Linked DNA regions of Struthio camelus. The protein of the gene in region 1 interacts with the protein of each later gene in a biochemical or structural test. Links are inferred from orthologs where the notes say so. Each region holds a gene or a part of one and is shown on either strand. Other genes may lie near its edges.

Evidence for each region.
Region 2: the proteins of NPM1 (region 1) and HMGA1 interact in far-western blotting, tested with the Homo sapiens proteins (2 studies listed by BioGRID). The link is inferred for Struthio camelus from reciprocal best matches to the Homo sapiens genes NPM1 and HMGA1.

Annotation. Positions count from the first base shown.
Region 1 is NC_090954.1:20,056,285-20,063,935, reverse strand, and holds the start of NPM1 (nucleophosmin), read right to left. Parts: upstream 3,233-7,651; 5' UTR 3,074-3,232; coding exon 3,010-3,073; intron 2,073-3,009; coding exon 1,993-2,072; intron 1-1,992. UniProt on the Homo sapiens protein: Involved in diverse cellular processes such as ribosome biogenesis, centrosome duplication, protein chaperoning, histone assembly, cell proliferation, and regulation of tumor suppressors p53/TP53 and ARF.
Region 2 is NC_090965.1:5,620,897-5,628,524, reverse strand, and holds the start of HMGA1 (high mobility group protein HMG-I/HMG-Y), read left to right. Parts: upstream 1-4,457; 5' UTR 4,458-4,544; exon of another isoform or gene 4,545-4,771; 5' UTR 4,772-4,922; intron 4,923-7,628. UniProt on the Homo sapiens protein: HMG-I/Y bind preferentially to the minor groove of A+T rich regions in double-stranded DNA. It is suggested that these proteins could function in nucleosome phasing and in the 3'-end processing of mRNA transcripts.

The DNA.
Region 1 (7,651 bases):
TGGTGGGTAGTCCCAGGAGCTAAGAACACTTGCCCAAACTGCCTCTGCCCCCTCCATTACTCCTATCACTTGCACAAGATCTCGAGCAATATGTACTATTCATTTATTTAGCAATGACCAATGCAGCATGTCTAGCAAGTATCCATTCACGTGCTTGAACTTTTATAACAGCGAACACCATGCTAGCAATAAAGAGGTAATAGAGTGGATGGTCACCATTTCATGTTCACAGCTGTCATTAAGACCAGGCATTTAAGAAAACCATCACATGCCACTTTCTACCTCCACATACATCAATCCTCCTCCTCTTTCACTTTTATCCTTTTTTCTATCTCATACCAAGCCCCCTGCCACACTTGCGTAACTGACAGGTATGCATCTTTATTCATCTAGTTTTATCAAGTTCATAGAGCACAGTCACCAAGTATTCACTAGCTTCATACCTGAGCTTCCAAAAACTCCTTGCTCTGCTTACCATGTCAATTTTTCTTTGTTTCTAGCTATGTCCAATCCTTTCAGAAATTCCCAGTTTGTCACATGTTATTTCAACTTTCTTGTCTCTCCGACAGGTTACCTCCCTTTGACTTTAAAAGGCAGTTTTCTGAATTAGACCTTTTCTCTCACAACCTCAAAAACTAAGTACTGATGCTGTAAGTCCATCAATTTGCCTCATCCTCCATGAAGAGGTCACAGCAACCGGAAGAGACGGTAATTTTCAAAACTAGGAACTTTGGATAAGCCCACACAACTGAGGTTATCATTCAGTGGCTCATTTCATGTGTGCTACAAACAGGCAGGCATGAGAACAATCCACATCGACTTGCCCTACCCATACTTTACAGTATTCTTCCCTCAAGAGAGATTCTAAAAGGCCATTAAGTACAAAGTGGTCACCGTCAAGTCCAGATTGTGTTTTTCATAAACTGCAAGGACTCTATAAACATAGTTCACACAATACTACAATATTCAAATTAACATCATAAGTGTTATGTATTACTTTGAATGAGTTTTAACTCAGGCAGCCATTGTTATCCTGGACTCCTGTAGGAAGCACTCTAGAATCCTAAAATTCACTTATTTAGAAGTGTCATCAAGACATCTCTCTACATTAAATGCGACTGCAATGTAATGTGATTAAATACACATGCTATTAAATGCTGGACTAAAGTACACAGATGTGACAACGTTTAAATCCCTTCCCTGTGAAGTTGTGTCACGTTTGTGCTAACCAAAACAGAAGTCGCATGCTTAGCCCAGAGTAGAGAAGTGCAGTGTCCTTCTTGCTGGGACAGCAGAAAGAACTAAGGACATATTTAAGAACTCTCAATATGCACACCTTGATTTCAAGGAGTATCCTGTTCAGTGAGCAGCTGCTCTGTCTGATTAAATGTATGAATCAAAGACAGTGTTTCCCATAACATCCTTAAAAAGAGGACAACACTACCAAAAAACGTATCAGAACATAAAAGCCTTTTCCCCTCCAAATTAGATGCAACATTAGCTGCTGATTGGGGGAAAAAGGCACTGGTATTATAATGCTTGGGGAACACAAAGAAAAAGTTTTCAAAGTAAAGTTTCCCCAGTCCGCACCCATCTGTGAAAAATATAAATCCAATCCCTGCTTTTGCTCCTGCAGCATCTAAACCGTTGCACCAGAGATACCAGAAGACATAGGCCTGCCCTCATCCCTTTTAGCAAATTTACTGACCTATTGTGAACTCATTTTTTTTAAAGAACTTTTTTTTTAAAACCTGGTGTCACTTGCTATAAGCCATGAAACAACAATAGAGAATTTTCAAGGTAAAACGGGATGTTCAGTTCCTAATAAGAGGTTATCTAGCAAACTGACTCAAAACACTTGCAAATGCCAGACAGAACAGATGTTTAAGGAACAAATTTACATGTTACAAAAGCTCACTTTTCATAACGTAGCATATTATTACTCAAAAAACAAAATTCAAGCTTGCACCTTAAAAAGTAGATAATACTTGCCGTTCTCAAAGATAACTGATGCTCATTTTCTTCATCATCTACCTTGAACTGATACTCCTTGTCTGCTTTAAGCTCACAGCCTGTAAAAAAAAAAAATCATTAAGTTGCAAGCAAACTATTGTTTTCAGGAACAGGTACTTGCTAGCCACTTGTTACTTAGAAGTGTAATGCTTTCTGCTTTATGGTGCTGCATTTGCATAGAAAACCAACCCCACTGCATGCGTGCAAAGAAACTCAAGAGAAACGCGTAGGGAGGGGAAAACCCCAGGCGAGTCCCGGCCCATGGCCTACCACGCAGCTCCTACCCGCAGCGTCAGCCATTACACTTCGTCCAAGACCAGCCGCTACAAAACCAGCGGCTTCCAGCGCCGCTGCGCACTGCCCGCGCTGCCGCCGGCCATGTGCCACCCCCGGCGAGGCGAGGCGTGGGGCGGGCGGGTCGGCCGGCTTCCCCTCGGGCCGGCAGCGGGCAAGGCGGCCCGCCGCCCTCCACGTGCTCCACCTCCCGCCGCGCCGCCATGTGCTCGGGCCGCCCGCCGGCTCCGCGCCGCCCGCAACGCAACGTGCCCGCGTCCCGAAAGGGACGAGCGGCCGGGCGAGCGGCGACCGGGCCGGGCGGCGGGGGCGCGGGCCAACAAAAGCCAGCCCCCGCCAGGCCGCCGCCGCCACGTGCCAGCGGCCCGCCACGTGGGGCGCGCGCGCCGGCCGAACGCGCGGCTAACGGACGCCGGCGCGCGGCTAACGGACGCGCGGCCAACGGACGCCGGCGCGCGGCCCACCGAGGCCGGCGCCCCCCCCACGGTGTTTCCCCCCCCCCCCCGCGGCGACCGCCGAGGGCCGCAGCAGGCCCGCGGCTCCCATCGGGCCTCGCCGCCGCTGCCAGCCCGCCCCCCCTCCCCCCGCCGCCGCCGCCCACCCGGCCCAGGCGGGGAGCGGAGGCCTAAGGGAGCGGATGGCGGCCGTCAGGGGCCGGGGCCGGGCGAGGAGGGGAGAGCGGGGCGCCGCGGGGGCCGTTACCGAAGAGAAAGGTCTGCGGGCGCAGGGGGCCCATGCTCTCCATGTCCATGGCGCTGTCCTCCATCTTCTCGGGCCTGCTCGGGCGGGAGGCGCGGGGGCGGGATGCGGTGCTGCGGGCGGACGCGCACTAAAGGAAGCCGCGCGCCCGCCCACTCCCAGATATAGCCCGCGCGCTCTCGCGAGAGCGCCGCGCCGCGCCCCGCCCCTCCCCGCCGCCGCCGCCGCCCCACTGCGCAGGCGCCGCGCGGCGTTGGGGGGAGGGGGGGGCGGGCGCCCGCGCGCGCGGCCGGCGGGCGGGCTGGGCGGGGGGCTGCGGCGGTCACAAAATGGTGGCGGGGCCGAGGCGGCCGGCGGGTGAGGCGTTGGCCTGCGAACGAAACCTGCCGTCGCCAACGAGGCAGCCGCGCGGTGGCTCGCGTAGCTCCCTGCCGGCCTTCGTACCCGCGTAGGCGGGGGCTGCCGCGCGCCGGCCGCGCAGCCGGGGCCAGGCGGCGGCGGCAGTGTGCGGGGAGCTCCGCCGGGGCCGGCATTTGATGGGATAAAAGCATATAGCCTCACATCGCCCGGGTGTCTGCAGTGACTGAAACGTGTAATACATAACAGCAGTATTCATAAAGGCAGAAAACGAAACAACGAAGAATCGACATGGTTATTTTACAGCGGCGCTTACATGCCAAAATGTGGCGTTCACCTTCTTCCTTAGCCTCCCGCAAAGCTCGCCCCCTCTTTGAAAAACGGTATATATCTACAGCACGTACGCAGTCAGCTTATTTTGGGATGCAAGGTCTCATATTCTGGTGCAGAATACAATTTGTTTTCCAAATGTGAGGTTACTTAAGCCACAGGCTTCCCAGGATAAAGGCCCCGACAGTCACGTTAACATTAAAACTGCTTGGGGAAACTAAGGTTTTGTCAGGTGGATTGCCACAGGATAACTAAAATAACAGTAAGAATGAAATCAGCTTCTGTGTGGAAAAAAAAAAAAGGTACAAGCGTAGATAGTCGTGCTTTTTACCCTGTGACTGAGGATGGGAGATTTGGGCCCTGGGAGGTCACTGTGAGCACCCTCTTCTAGAATCAGAATGGTTTAGTTGGGAAGAGACCTCTGGCATCATCTGGTCCAACACCCTGCTCAACGCAGCACCCCCAAGTCACGTTAAGGGAGGGCTAGTTTGCTACGGTGCAGTAACTAACAAATGCTAGCTACAGCTGATTTGGAAATGCTGATACAAGTAAAAATTATGGGGTTTTTTTTCTGTTTCTCTTCTCAATTTCCTACCAGCTCTTACTCTTTATTTAAATACATGGTGGCACAGTTGTAGGATGTGACAATTAAGGGCTTTTAAGCAAAACCAGAGAAACTAACAGTCATTTTTATTTCTCTTTCTTCTTTTGCATCCTACAGTAGAAACATTGGTTAATTTGCAAACTGTGCATCATATATAGACAGAGAAATAACACACTGGTGGATGTCAAGTCAAAACAAAGTTTTGCCCTGTTTTGAGCCTGGTTTCAGCTCCTACGAAAGCTCTGTGAGCATTCCTGAGTTGCATAACAGGTTTATTGTTCCAGTGGAACATGTATGTGGATATTGTGGGTATGGGACCAGAATCATCTCTCCAGACACTAAGTTCGTGTCAGAAAAAAAAGAACTGTATCAGGGCAAAGACTTTAAGCCAGATGCATCTGTTAATGGGGAACTCATGCTGGGAACAGGGAAGAGGTGACAGGAGCATGGACACTTCTATAACAGGTGTGGGGCACTGCATTTTGCTTCGGCCCATATTCTGCGTTCCTCTTGATGTATTCTTTTTCACAAGTAGTTTTTCCTTCCCTGCTGCATCTTTGTTTCCTAAGAGTTCACTGGCCCACGCAGCTCATTGTACCCTACAGTCGCGTTTGCCACGTGCAACAGTGTTCGCCTCTGAATGTGCCACGGGACACACCATGAACGCTCCTGAGGCAACTGCAGGTAACAGTTAAGAGAACGTAAGTGCGCCCGATCAACATATCTCATTACACGGACATGGAAATGCAGAATTATCTAACATATCACTGATCTGGTACAAGTAAGACTTAATTAGTTAAGTTTGGTACAAGTAAGACTTAATTAGTTAGGTTTGCATCTGTTTTCTATTACAATGCCAAATTTAAGAGCTTGAGAGACATTTTTAACATCAGGAGGGAAAGGATGAAGACAAGTGTTTGAAAACATAAACACCAGGGAGATGCTTTGCTCTGTATGAATGTAAGATAAGGGCAGTCCACAGTTGTGTCTAATCTTATAATTTTGTTTAAGCGTTCATTAGGAGATAGATGGTGAATGAAAACAGGGAAGGTTCTCCACGAGGAGGCACAGTTTCTTTAAATTGGTAACAAAGCCAAAGAAAAGGTGTTGAAGGAGCATAAATCCTCAGGGAGGTGGAGAAAGATTTCAAGGACAATACAGTCTTTTCCCTGTCATTTCTAAGTTCGTGGCTTGGTATTAGAAGGAAGTAGCCTTCTTCGTGGCCTCTGCTACCATGGCACAGCAGACTGAAGAACTGCCACGCCGAAGATGCAGTGTTGCCACTCTTGAGTTTTTACTAGGAGTAATAATTTTGGGCGTAAAGCTCCCATTATCAGCATCCTGAGATTAAAGCCAGGAGGTGAATTCCAAACAGAGAGACAGCCCTCACGACGGTACGGAAAAACTCTAATCTTAAAAAGGGCCCAAGTATCAAAAGATAAACAGAACAAGCTGTCTGTGGACAGAAGAACTGATGCAGGTTGCTTTCCTAGGGACTTGTGTTTCCCAGCTGGTGTCTGATAAGGTGGCATCTCCCCCAGAAACTTCCTGATTAGGGCACTTCAAACCACTCTGTACTGTGTGGTTTCTCTAGTGTCTAGAGATGAACTCACTTTTTTCTGCAGGTCCAAAAAAAGACCGTTTCCCTCACCTGTGCTCAGCCAGCCGTTTGTATGGAACTTGCAGGAATCTGAGACCTCTGGCATTCAGCTGAACGTGGCTCAAACAGCACACCCGAGTCAGTTTTCGGGATAAGAACAGAGCGATCACAAAAGCATCACGGACAATCCTTCCAATTTACTCCTCTTAAAATCTCCTTAGGAAACGAGAGAGGGAACAGTGCTTATTTCATTTTCTGACCTTTAGTTTGGTTCATTTCTTATTATCTTTTAGAAGCAATTAATTCTAAGGGTGGACTTTAACGTAGGAAGAGTGGCAGTTTGGCAGTCCCGGATAGGGAAGGTGCAGGCATCTGCGAAGCAGCAGAGGCAGAAAAGCTCATCGAGTGTGGCAGCTGGTATCACTGGCAGAGCACAGGCATCACTATTTGATCAGCTGTTTCAGCCAAGAGGAGCTGTACTGACACAGATAAGACGTTTGTTTGATTTGGCTTGAAAATCGGAACCGGTATCAAAATTTAAAACGTAGTTTTGGCCCGATCTCAATGGCAAACAGACTGGAGTGGACGGGTGAATAACGCACAGCGACAGCAAAAGAGGCTGCAGCCGTTTGCACGTGCGCTTACCTGATGTAGTGCCAACGGCGGTACCCGACTGCTTGTGCAAACCAGCTGGAAACCTGCTGGGCGCAGCACTCGGCAGCTCGCAGGGCAGCCCGCGCTCGCAGGCCTCCACCCCGTCCTGTCGAAGGCGAACGGCGCAGCCACGGCAGCCCTTGCGCGGACAGAGTCGCTTTTAATTCAATTACAGTTTTCCATTACCAAGGAAATAAATGTGGGAGGAAACAAAGAACAGACACAGAGAGGCAAAACAAGGGTAGGAAGTGGAAGATAGATGCTTTCTGCGTCCCGTTTGGCTCCATAGGGCTTTACAAGGATTGTCATATATCATGACATTTATTATTTCTGTCATGTACTACGACGAGAAGTCCATTACAATATCGATCATTTCACTCTGCTTGAGTCTGCACTATGTGATACTCAGCGTAGCTGAAAAGTGATTTAGAAATAGCTGTACAGGGAGGACTGAGGCAGAAATCGGAGTCAACGTAGTTACCCTTAATAAAATCCTCTTTTTAGTAACCTTTTAGGAAATGGCATTGTAAACCGTGTTACAGCCACAGGACAGTTGCACAGCCAAGCAGTCAGAAGTTACAGGCAGAATTAAGATTTCTTATGCAGCCTTAACTGACACCCTGACATAACGATACAACCTTCAGCTATATTGCCACATACTCCCTTCACAGGATGCTTCCTCCTTTCAGTAGCTAGTAATTTCTGCCCCTGGAAAACTCAGGGCCAAATTTCTAAAAGGCATCAAAGCCCTTGCCCTTCCTTGAAATCAAGAAGCAGAATGCACTTTGAAACTTGAAAATCCAAATCTTTCAACTTAACCTGAAACAACTACCGGCTAGTTATAATAATCAGGTTGGGGCAAAAAGGGGTTGCACAAGGAAAGCCCAAGATAGTTATCGTTAGTATGACAGTATTTTTAGTTTGCTTTAAATGATTGTTACTACTGCCAGCACCTCGGCATCCTCTTCATTTAATTTTGGAGCGCTACAAGTTCTTTTGCAGACACTCTGCAACTTGCGTTAAAGAGCACTAAAACTAAAATTTTGCATAAAATACAGGTTCTGTAAAAACAAGCTAAAATTAAGGCTGATGAAGCATTT
Region 2 (7,628 bases), on another chromosome or scaffold:
AAACCGGGACGGCAGGACGTTCCCGGGGCAGCAGACAAAAGGCCATTGTGCACCGCTAGCCGGAGCGGCGCGGCAGCCCCGACGGACGGCTTGCCGCTCCCCCTGCCAGGGCCCTGCAAAACGGGGACGGCGCCGGAGCAGGGGATGGGGTGAAGGAGCCCAGGCTGCACCAGCAGGCCCGAGCGGGGATCGGGACGCCCCGCCGGTGGGGCGACAGTCAGCGATGCGTCTCCGTGGGCGCCCGCAGGCCGGCCGCGGCACTTCCACCATCGTCCCCAGCCGCTGCTGAAGGTCCCCACGGGAGTCAGAGCTGCTTTGCAGCCCCGCTGGATCGTGCCGGGCTCCCACAGCGCCGGAGCAGCCGACTTCCTGCCGCCCTGGCCGAGCCGGCTGCGAGCCAAACCTTCGGGGGGGTATCGCCCTCTGCTAGGGTTGCATATATATAATACGTGCATGCATATGGGGTTGTAGTCCACATATATAGAAGGGCAGCTCTGAGCCAGCAGGCGGGAGCAGTCGGTGCCCCCCTCCAAGTCCTCGGTCCTGGAGGCAGGGGATGAAAAGCAGTCGCTGTGATTTAAAGAGGAGGGGGGAAACAAAGCCGGCTTCTGCATCGGTGGGGAAACGAAGCCTCAGCCCCGACGCTCAGCGACCGGAAAGCCACCAGGGCCCCGCCACGGCCCCGTGCCCGGGGGCTCCCACCTCCTGACACTCTGCAAACCAAAGGCAGCGCCGACGGCGGTGCCCAGCCCCGCAAGACGGGTGACAGAGGCTCGTGCCCCAGGGGCGCTCAGCACCCAAGCAGCCTCGGCCGGCTCTCCGGCGCTGCCCCAGCACCGGGGTGCCCTTTGTGCCTGGAAAGAAGTGGCCAGATCTGCCCGGACCGAGCCAAGCATGTCAGGTGCTGCCTTGTTTTGAAAGCTCTGCCGGGAAGTCACCCATGGGACGGGACGGGACGGCCGTGGCATCACGGGGCTGGCGCCGGCCGCCTCTCCGCCCCGCTTGCCTCGGCTAGCACTGCGTTTCGCGCCCCGCTGGCGGCAGCCGGACCCGGGGGGCCGGCGCTCACCTCGGGCCCGGCCCCCAGCCGCGCCGCCGGGACGGACCACCGATGGGCGCCTGCCTCTTTGCAGCCCCTTTGGCGGGCCGACGCGGCTGCCAGCGCTTGCAAGCGGCTCCGCGGGGGGAGGCCCAGCGCCACGGCTCGCAGAGGCCCCAAGCGCGCCCGCTGCCCGGCCCCATCGCCTCCCAGCCAGCTCTAGGGAGAGAGAAATAGAGAGAGAGGGGTGGGGGGCACATGCCCCTGCCCGCTGCGCCGCCCGCATCGGGCGCTAGGGATGCGATGGGTGCAGCAGCGGGCTCTGCTTAAAAACAAGCAGCCCTCCACCGCTCTCGGCCCCCGTCTTTCCGCGAGGGCACCGCGGCCACGCACACTTCATCCCGCGCCAAGCGGCGGGCATCGCCCTGCAGACGCCTCTCCGCGGACGAAACGTCTCACCGCGGTGTCACACCGAGCAATTGCCCTTGCGCAAAGTCCCCGGGTCACTGCAGCAACCAGAATTACCTCCCGCTGCCCCCCAGCCTGCAAACGTGTGCTCCGAGCACCGACGTCACCCCCCCCCCGCCAAAATTCCCCATTTCTGGCCCAGTTTCCCCTCTCCAGGCCGGACAAAGCGCCTTCTGCACGCCGACGGCCTCAGCGGTGGGAGTCGAGCGGCGCCCGCCGGGGCGCGAAGCGACGGCCGCGTCTGTCCATCCGTCTGTCCGTCCCCCCCGGCGCCCCTCTCCGGTTACAGCCGTTTGCCGCCACCGCGGAATAAACAACGAGGGATATTAATAACGACAGCCCTTCGCCCAGGGGCGGAAATCAAATTCCTCGCCAGCTTGGCGGCGACGTCGGGGCTGCCGAGGGCGGGAGGCGCCGGGTCGGGCTTCGCCCTGGACCCCCGCGAGCTGCTGCGCGAGGCCGGAGGGTCGACACTGATTTGAGCTGGAAAAAAAACCCACAGGGCCTGGGGGCAAGGTCTCGGAGAGACGCCTCGGGGTCTCTCCTCGCCTCGGCGCCAGCAGACCCCCCGCGGGCGCCCGTCCCTGCCCCGAAGCCTTTCCCGGGCGCTGCCGGGCTCCGCTGCTCGGACCGCCGGCTTTTAGCCCGGCTGCCTTAAAGAAAAGCAAAAAAAACCCACCCCAATAACAACAACCATAAAAAAAAAGGGGGCAGTTTGTGCACGTGCGTCCGCCTGCCGGGGCCCTGCCGACCGCCTCGGAGCACGTTGGCCGATTTGCCACCGAACCCGCAGGGTCTCGGAGCACCACGAACCGCGAGAAGGGAAGGCACCGGGGCAGGGGGCCGCGGCCGGAGGTTTCTTTTTCGAAACGATCAGAAAGGCACACGGCTTTTATTGCATTTCACTTAGGAACAGTCAAGGCAGTTTGCAAAGGATTTTTAAAATCCCAGGAGCAACTAGCAAAGAGTACCAGAAGCCTTGCTGGTTTTGATTTTTTTTTTAATTTGCCTGTCACAAACCTTCCCCGCTGAAGAGCTTTTGCGCATGCTGCTACCTCTCCTTTTGTGCTTTACATTTTTAACTTTTTTTTTTTTAAATAAAAGCCTGAAACTTAAGTTCAATTTTCTCTAGTCTAAAGCTCAGCTCCTAACTCCAGATTTAGATCCTTTGTTGTGGGATTGTCAAAAGCGTATAAGCCAGAGTTTCTATTCAATTTGTGACTGGGATTTTTCATAGCAGTTGGGGGAACGTGGTGCAGTCCTGCAACTGAGACAATGCCGAGCCCTGGACTTCCTTAAAACAAAACAAACAAACCAACCACCATGAGATCCCAAATTATGTATATTCCTTGGAAAAAAAATGTTCCAATGCAAAAAGGGGACTAATTTCTGGAGTATTTGCCTACCGAGAGAGCTGATCTTGGCTCCTATTCCAAATTGACCCAATTCATTTCCAAAAGGGATCCAACGAATTGGGAATCAGGCCCTTTCACTCGGCAATAAGCGTGTGCACTCCAAGGAGCTGCATGAAACTCAGCTCCTCTCAGAGCTGCAGTCCCAGCCCGGCGCTGGGACCAGCCCACCGCACGCTTAAACCCCAGGAGAGCCTTGCTTTAGCAGCTCCAAATATCCCACCCCGCACCAGTCCATGCGGGGACTCACTTTTCCACACTGGGACTCACTTTTCCACATCAGCTTATTCCTGCAGCTTTGCAGAAAATCTGCGGCTTTGCAGAAAATGCCTCAAAACCCCTTCCAAATCCGGTCAGCCTCGGGGGCCCTAAAGATGCAGAAGCTGCCTCAGTGTCCAGGGGAAAACAGGCTGCCGGGGGCATCGCTAACCTCACCGGGGCCAGCAAAAGGAGATGCCGCGCACGCTCGCCTGCTTGGCGGTGGCGCAGGCCGCGCTGCGCTGGGCCGGCACCGCCGTTGCCTTGCCTTGGCCAGTGCTTTCGCCCATAGGGAGCCAAACATAAGGCTGGTTCTGCCACGCTGAGCAAGCCCACCCCAAGTGAGTCCACCCCGAGCACGCCCATGCTGAGCGAGCCCACCGGCTGCTGTTCACATCAAGTGAGTCCTCGGGGTGCTGCACAGACCAAGCGAACCTGCCCTGAGCAAGCCCACTGCGCGCTGCTCACCCCGAACGAGCCCGTGCTGAGCGAGCCCACTCCAGGTGAGCCCACCAAGCGCTGCTCATGGCAAGCGAGGCCACCCCAAGCGAACCTCCTGGGCGCTGCTCGTGCTGAGCGAGACAACCCCAAGGGAGCCCACCACGTGCTGCTCACAACAAGTGAGCCCACCCTGAGCGAGCCCACTGGCTACTGCACAGACCAAGCGAGCCCACCCTGAGCGAGCCCACCGCGTGCTGCTCACAGCAGGCAAGGCCACCTCAAGCGAGCCTCCTGGGTGCTGCTCCTGCCGAGCGAGCCCACCCCAAGGAAGCCCACCCAGTGCTGCTCAAATCAAGTGAGCCCACCTTGAGCAAGCCCACCCCGAGCGAGCCCACCCCGAGCGAGCCCACTGGGCACTGCTCATACCGGGTGAGCCCACCCTGAGGGAGCCCACCAAGTGCTGCTCACATCAGGCAAGCCCACCAGGCACTGCTCATGCCATGTGAGCCCACCAGGCGCTATTCACACCAAGCAAGCCCACCCCAAGGGAGCCCACCAAGTGCTGCCCACCCCGAGGGAGCCCACCAGCTGCTGCTCACATCAGGCGAGCCCACCCCGAGCAAGCCCACCGGGCGCTGCCCACATCATGTGAGCCCACCAAGCGCTGCCCACATCAGGCGAGCCCACCCGGAGGGAGCTCACCGGGCGCTGCCCGCCCACCGGCCAAGGCCCCCCCCGGCCCCCCCGCAGCCCTTTGAACCGACCTATCGCTCCCGGCCTCGGCGCCGCCCGCACCTCCCCCGGCCGTGATGCAGCCCGGCTCCTCCTCTCCCCTCTCCGCAAGGGCTGGAAGCTCCCCTTAGCCTGTTTGCCCTTATTTAATTTCGAGTGTGATTTTGCTATTTTTAGCAGCTGGATCCCCTCCAGTAAGGCTTGGAGCTCGCTCTTTTTTTTTTTTTTAATCCCCCCCCCTCTCTCCCTTCCTTTTTTTTTTTTTTTTTTTTCTCTCCGCTCCCTGCAAATGATTTTGACCCAGCTTCCTTCCTCCTGGAGCAATTTTTTTTTTTTATTATTTATATAAATAAGAGGGGGCCTGGCTGGGCTGTGGATGCGTGTGCGAGTCGCTGCCTCCCTCTCTGCCTTCTCCTTTCAGATCCGCATTTGCAACCAGCAGCAGCCAGGAGGGGGGTTGTTTTAATTCGCTCACAACACAGACACGCCAGGAGAAAAAAAAAAACAAAAAAAATCAAAAAAATCAAAAAAAAAAACCACCCCAAGCACCCAGCTCCGAGACCAAGCTGACTGTGAGTGCCGGCCTTCTCCTTTCCTTTCTCCTCCGGGGGGTGCGCAGGGAGGGCCGGGGCCGCCGGGGGGAGAGGGGGGGCTGGTTTGGGGAAGGGGCTCCCGGCACCCTCGGCATGCGGGGCGCAGTTGCCCCCGATCTTCTCTCCCTTTGCAAGGTCGCGTGTGCGTGCGTGCGGCGGGCCGGCTCGGCAATGCCCCTTCCCCCCCCCCCCCCGCTTCGTAATAATAATAATTATTGCTAAGGGCCGTGCACCTGATGGGCCCGGGGCGCCGCGCTGCCGCAGCCGCGCTGCCGGCTGCCAGCGGCGCCGCCGGACTTTTCCGCCACTTACTCGTTTTCGGGCGATGCGGCGCCGCGCTGGGGCTGCCCGCAAGCGCCCCGGCCCCGCGTGGGGGGCGGCCGCGGGCCGGGCTCGCGGCGGGCGTGGGGCCGGGAACCGTGCGTGGCGCCGCGTCCGGGGCCCGTGCAAGGTGCGTGGGGCCGGGAGCCGTGCATAGGGGCCAGGGCCTGTGCAAGGTGCGCGGGGCCGGGAATCCGTGCGTGGGGCCAGGCCCGGGGCCCGTGCAAAGTGCGTGGCGCCGGGAACCGTGCATGGGGCCACGGCCTGTGCAAGGTGCGTGGGGCCGGGGTAGGGGCGAGAGGCTGGGGTAGGGGGTGTGGAGCCAGGCCCGGGGCCCGTGCAAGGTGCGTGGGGGTCAGGGTAGGGTGGGTGGGGCCAGGTCCGGGCCCCGTGCAAGGTGCGTGGGGCCTGGATAGGGGGTGTGGGGCCAGGCCCGGGGCCCGTGCAAGGTGCGTGGGGATCAGGGTAGGGGATGTGGGGCCAGGCCCGGGGCCCGTGCAAGGTGCGTGGGGATCAGGGTAGGGGATGTGGGGCCAGGCCCGGGGCCCGTGCAAGGTGCGTGGGGGTCAGGGTAGGGTGCGTGGGGCCAGGTCCAGGCCCCGTGCAAGGTGTGTGGGGCCGGAGTAGGGTGCACGGGGCCCGGCCCCACGCGAGGTGCAAGGTGCGTGGGACTGGACCCACGCAGGGTGCTGGCCCGGTGGCAGCGCCGCAGGCCGGGCCCGGCTCGGGCAGGGACGCCCTTGGCTGGGGGGAGGAGGGGGGCAGCTCGGCCCCCCCGCACGCCGGGCCCGGCTGCGTGTGCAGCACCGAGCACGCCAACCTGCAACCCCCAACCGGGGAAGGCACCCCGGGGCGGGGGGGGGAAGGCACCACCAAAGGTTTTATTATACCCCGCAGGACCGGCTCTTCACAAAGCTTGGGATGTTGCCCTTCCTGCCTCTTTTCTTTCTGTCCCCCCTTCCCCACCTCCCTCCTTCCTTTCTTTTATCACTTCCTTTTATTATGCATGCCCAGGAAGGAAGGGGGGGGGGAGGTGCGCTCTCCTTAATAGCAGGGCCTGGGGGGGAGCGGGGGGGGGGGGGGTCTTCAAAGCAGCCCTGCCGAGGGCCTGTCCTAACGAGGGGCCGAGCACATCCCTCCCCTGCCCAACAGGCTCTTCAACTTCTTCCCGTCTCTTCCCTGGCCCGGCTCCTCGCCCCGCCGGGAGGTGCGGCCCGCATCCTCGGCCAGCTGCACGCAGGCTGGCTTTCCTGGGCGCGAAGAGGCTTTTTGAGATCTAAAGCCACCGCCTGTCTCCCTTGTTCTCCTGGGCTGGTTTGTTTAATCTAAGAGTAGGTGGCGGGAGCAGGGATTTATGGGGCTATTTGCACGCAGCGGCGTAAGGCAGCGCGGGCGGCTGGGGGAAGGACGCGGCAGGCCGGGGGCAGCCGGCAGCCTCGCTCCCAGGGGCCAGGTTGCCTCTTTTGCAACCTAATGGCATCTCGCCTAAGAGGTGGTTCCCGGCTGCTGAGAACGCCCAAGCTCGTGTCTGGGAGCAGGGAGAGACGGTGGGACTGGTGGAGGGGGGAGAAGTATTGCACGGAGGATAATTATCTGCAGGGATGGAGGGGGAAGGAGTTTTGCATCCTCCAACTCCATCGATCCGAAGGAAGATGGAGCCCCTCCACCTCCAAACCTGGCTGTGCAAGGATTTCTCCCTCCTCGCCCCTGGGCCTCGCCGCCCGTGCCCTCATCTCCCATCCTGCCCGAGCCGCCCATCCCCTGCCCTCGCCTCCTATGGATCCGTCCCCCTGGGGAAGGGTTTTCTCTCTCCAGCTACTTCCTCTCCTCCATGGCAACCCAGCTGCTCCCGCAGATACGGGTTTCACGGGCGCGAGCGCGGCCGGAGCTCCTTCCTGCGGCGCGCCGAGCATCGCGCCGGAGCTCGGACCGCTGCCACCCGCCAGGGCAGGATGCGCTCCCGGCAGACGGCTGCTGCCGGGGCCAGGAGCGTCTGCCTGCTCAGCACCATCCCCATCTCCCGCCTGGCTGCAGCACCACCCTATGTCACCCTGCGAGGGCAGGGTGGGAGCTGTCAGTCCTTCCGGGTGCTTTTAAGCCCCGGGGTCCCTCGGGAGACCTCGGCCCGGCCACGCGGTTTTGCAGCAAGGTGGCGGAGGGGACCGGCCCGACACATGTGCTGTTTCCCACGGCACCGGCAGCTTCGCCGTGCGCCGCTGGTGCCTCGAGCTCTCGGCGTGGGGGACGCCCCCGCTCCGGGCATCTCCCGGTCGGGGCCGCGGCGCTGTGCCATGCTGACGCCGGCGGCTCGGGAGCGGGACGGGAGCCCCGACTTCATGCTGTAGCGGGGCCGGGGCAGAGGAG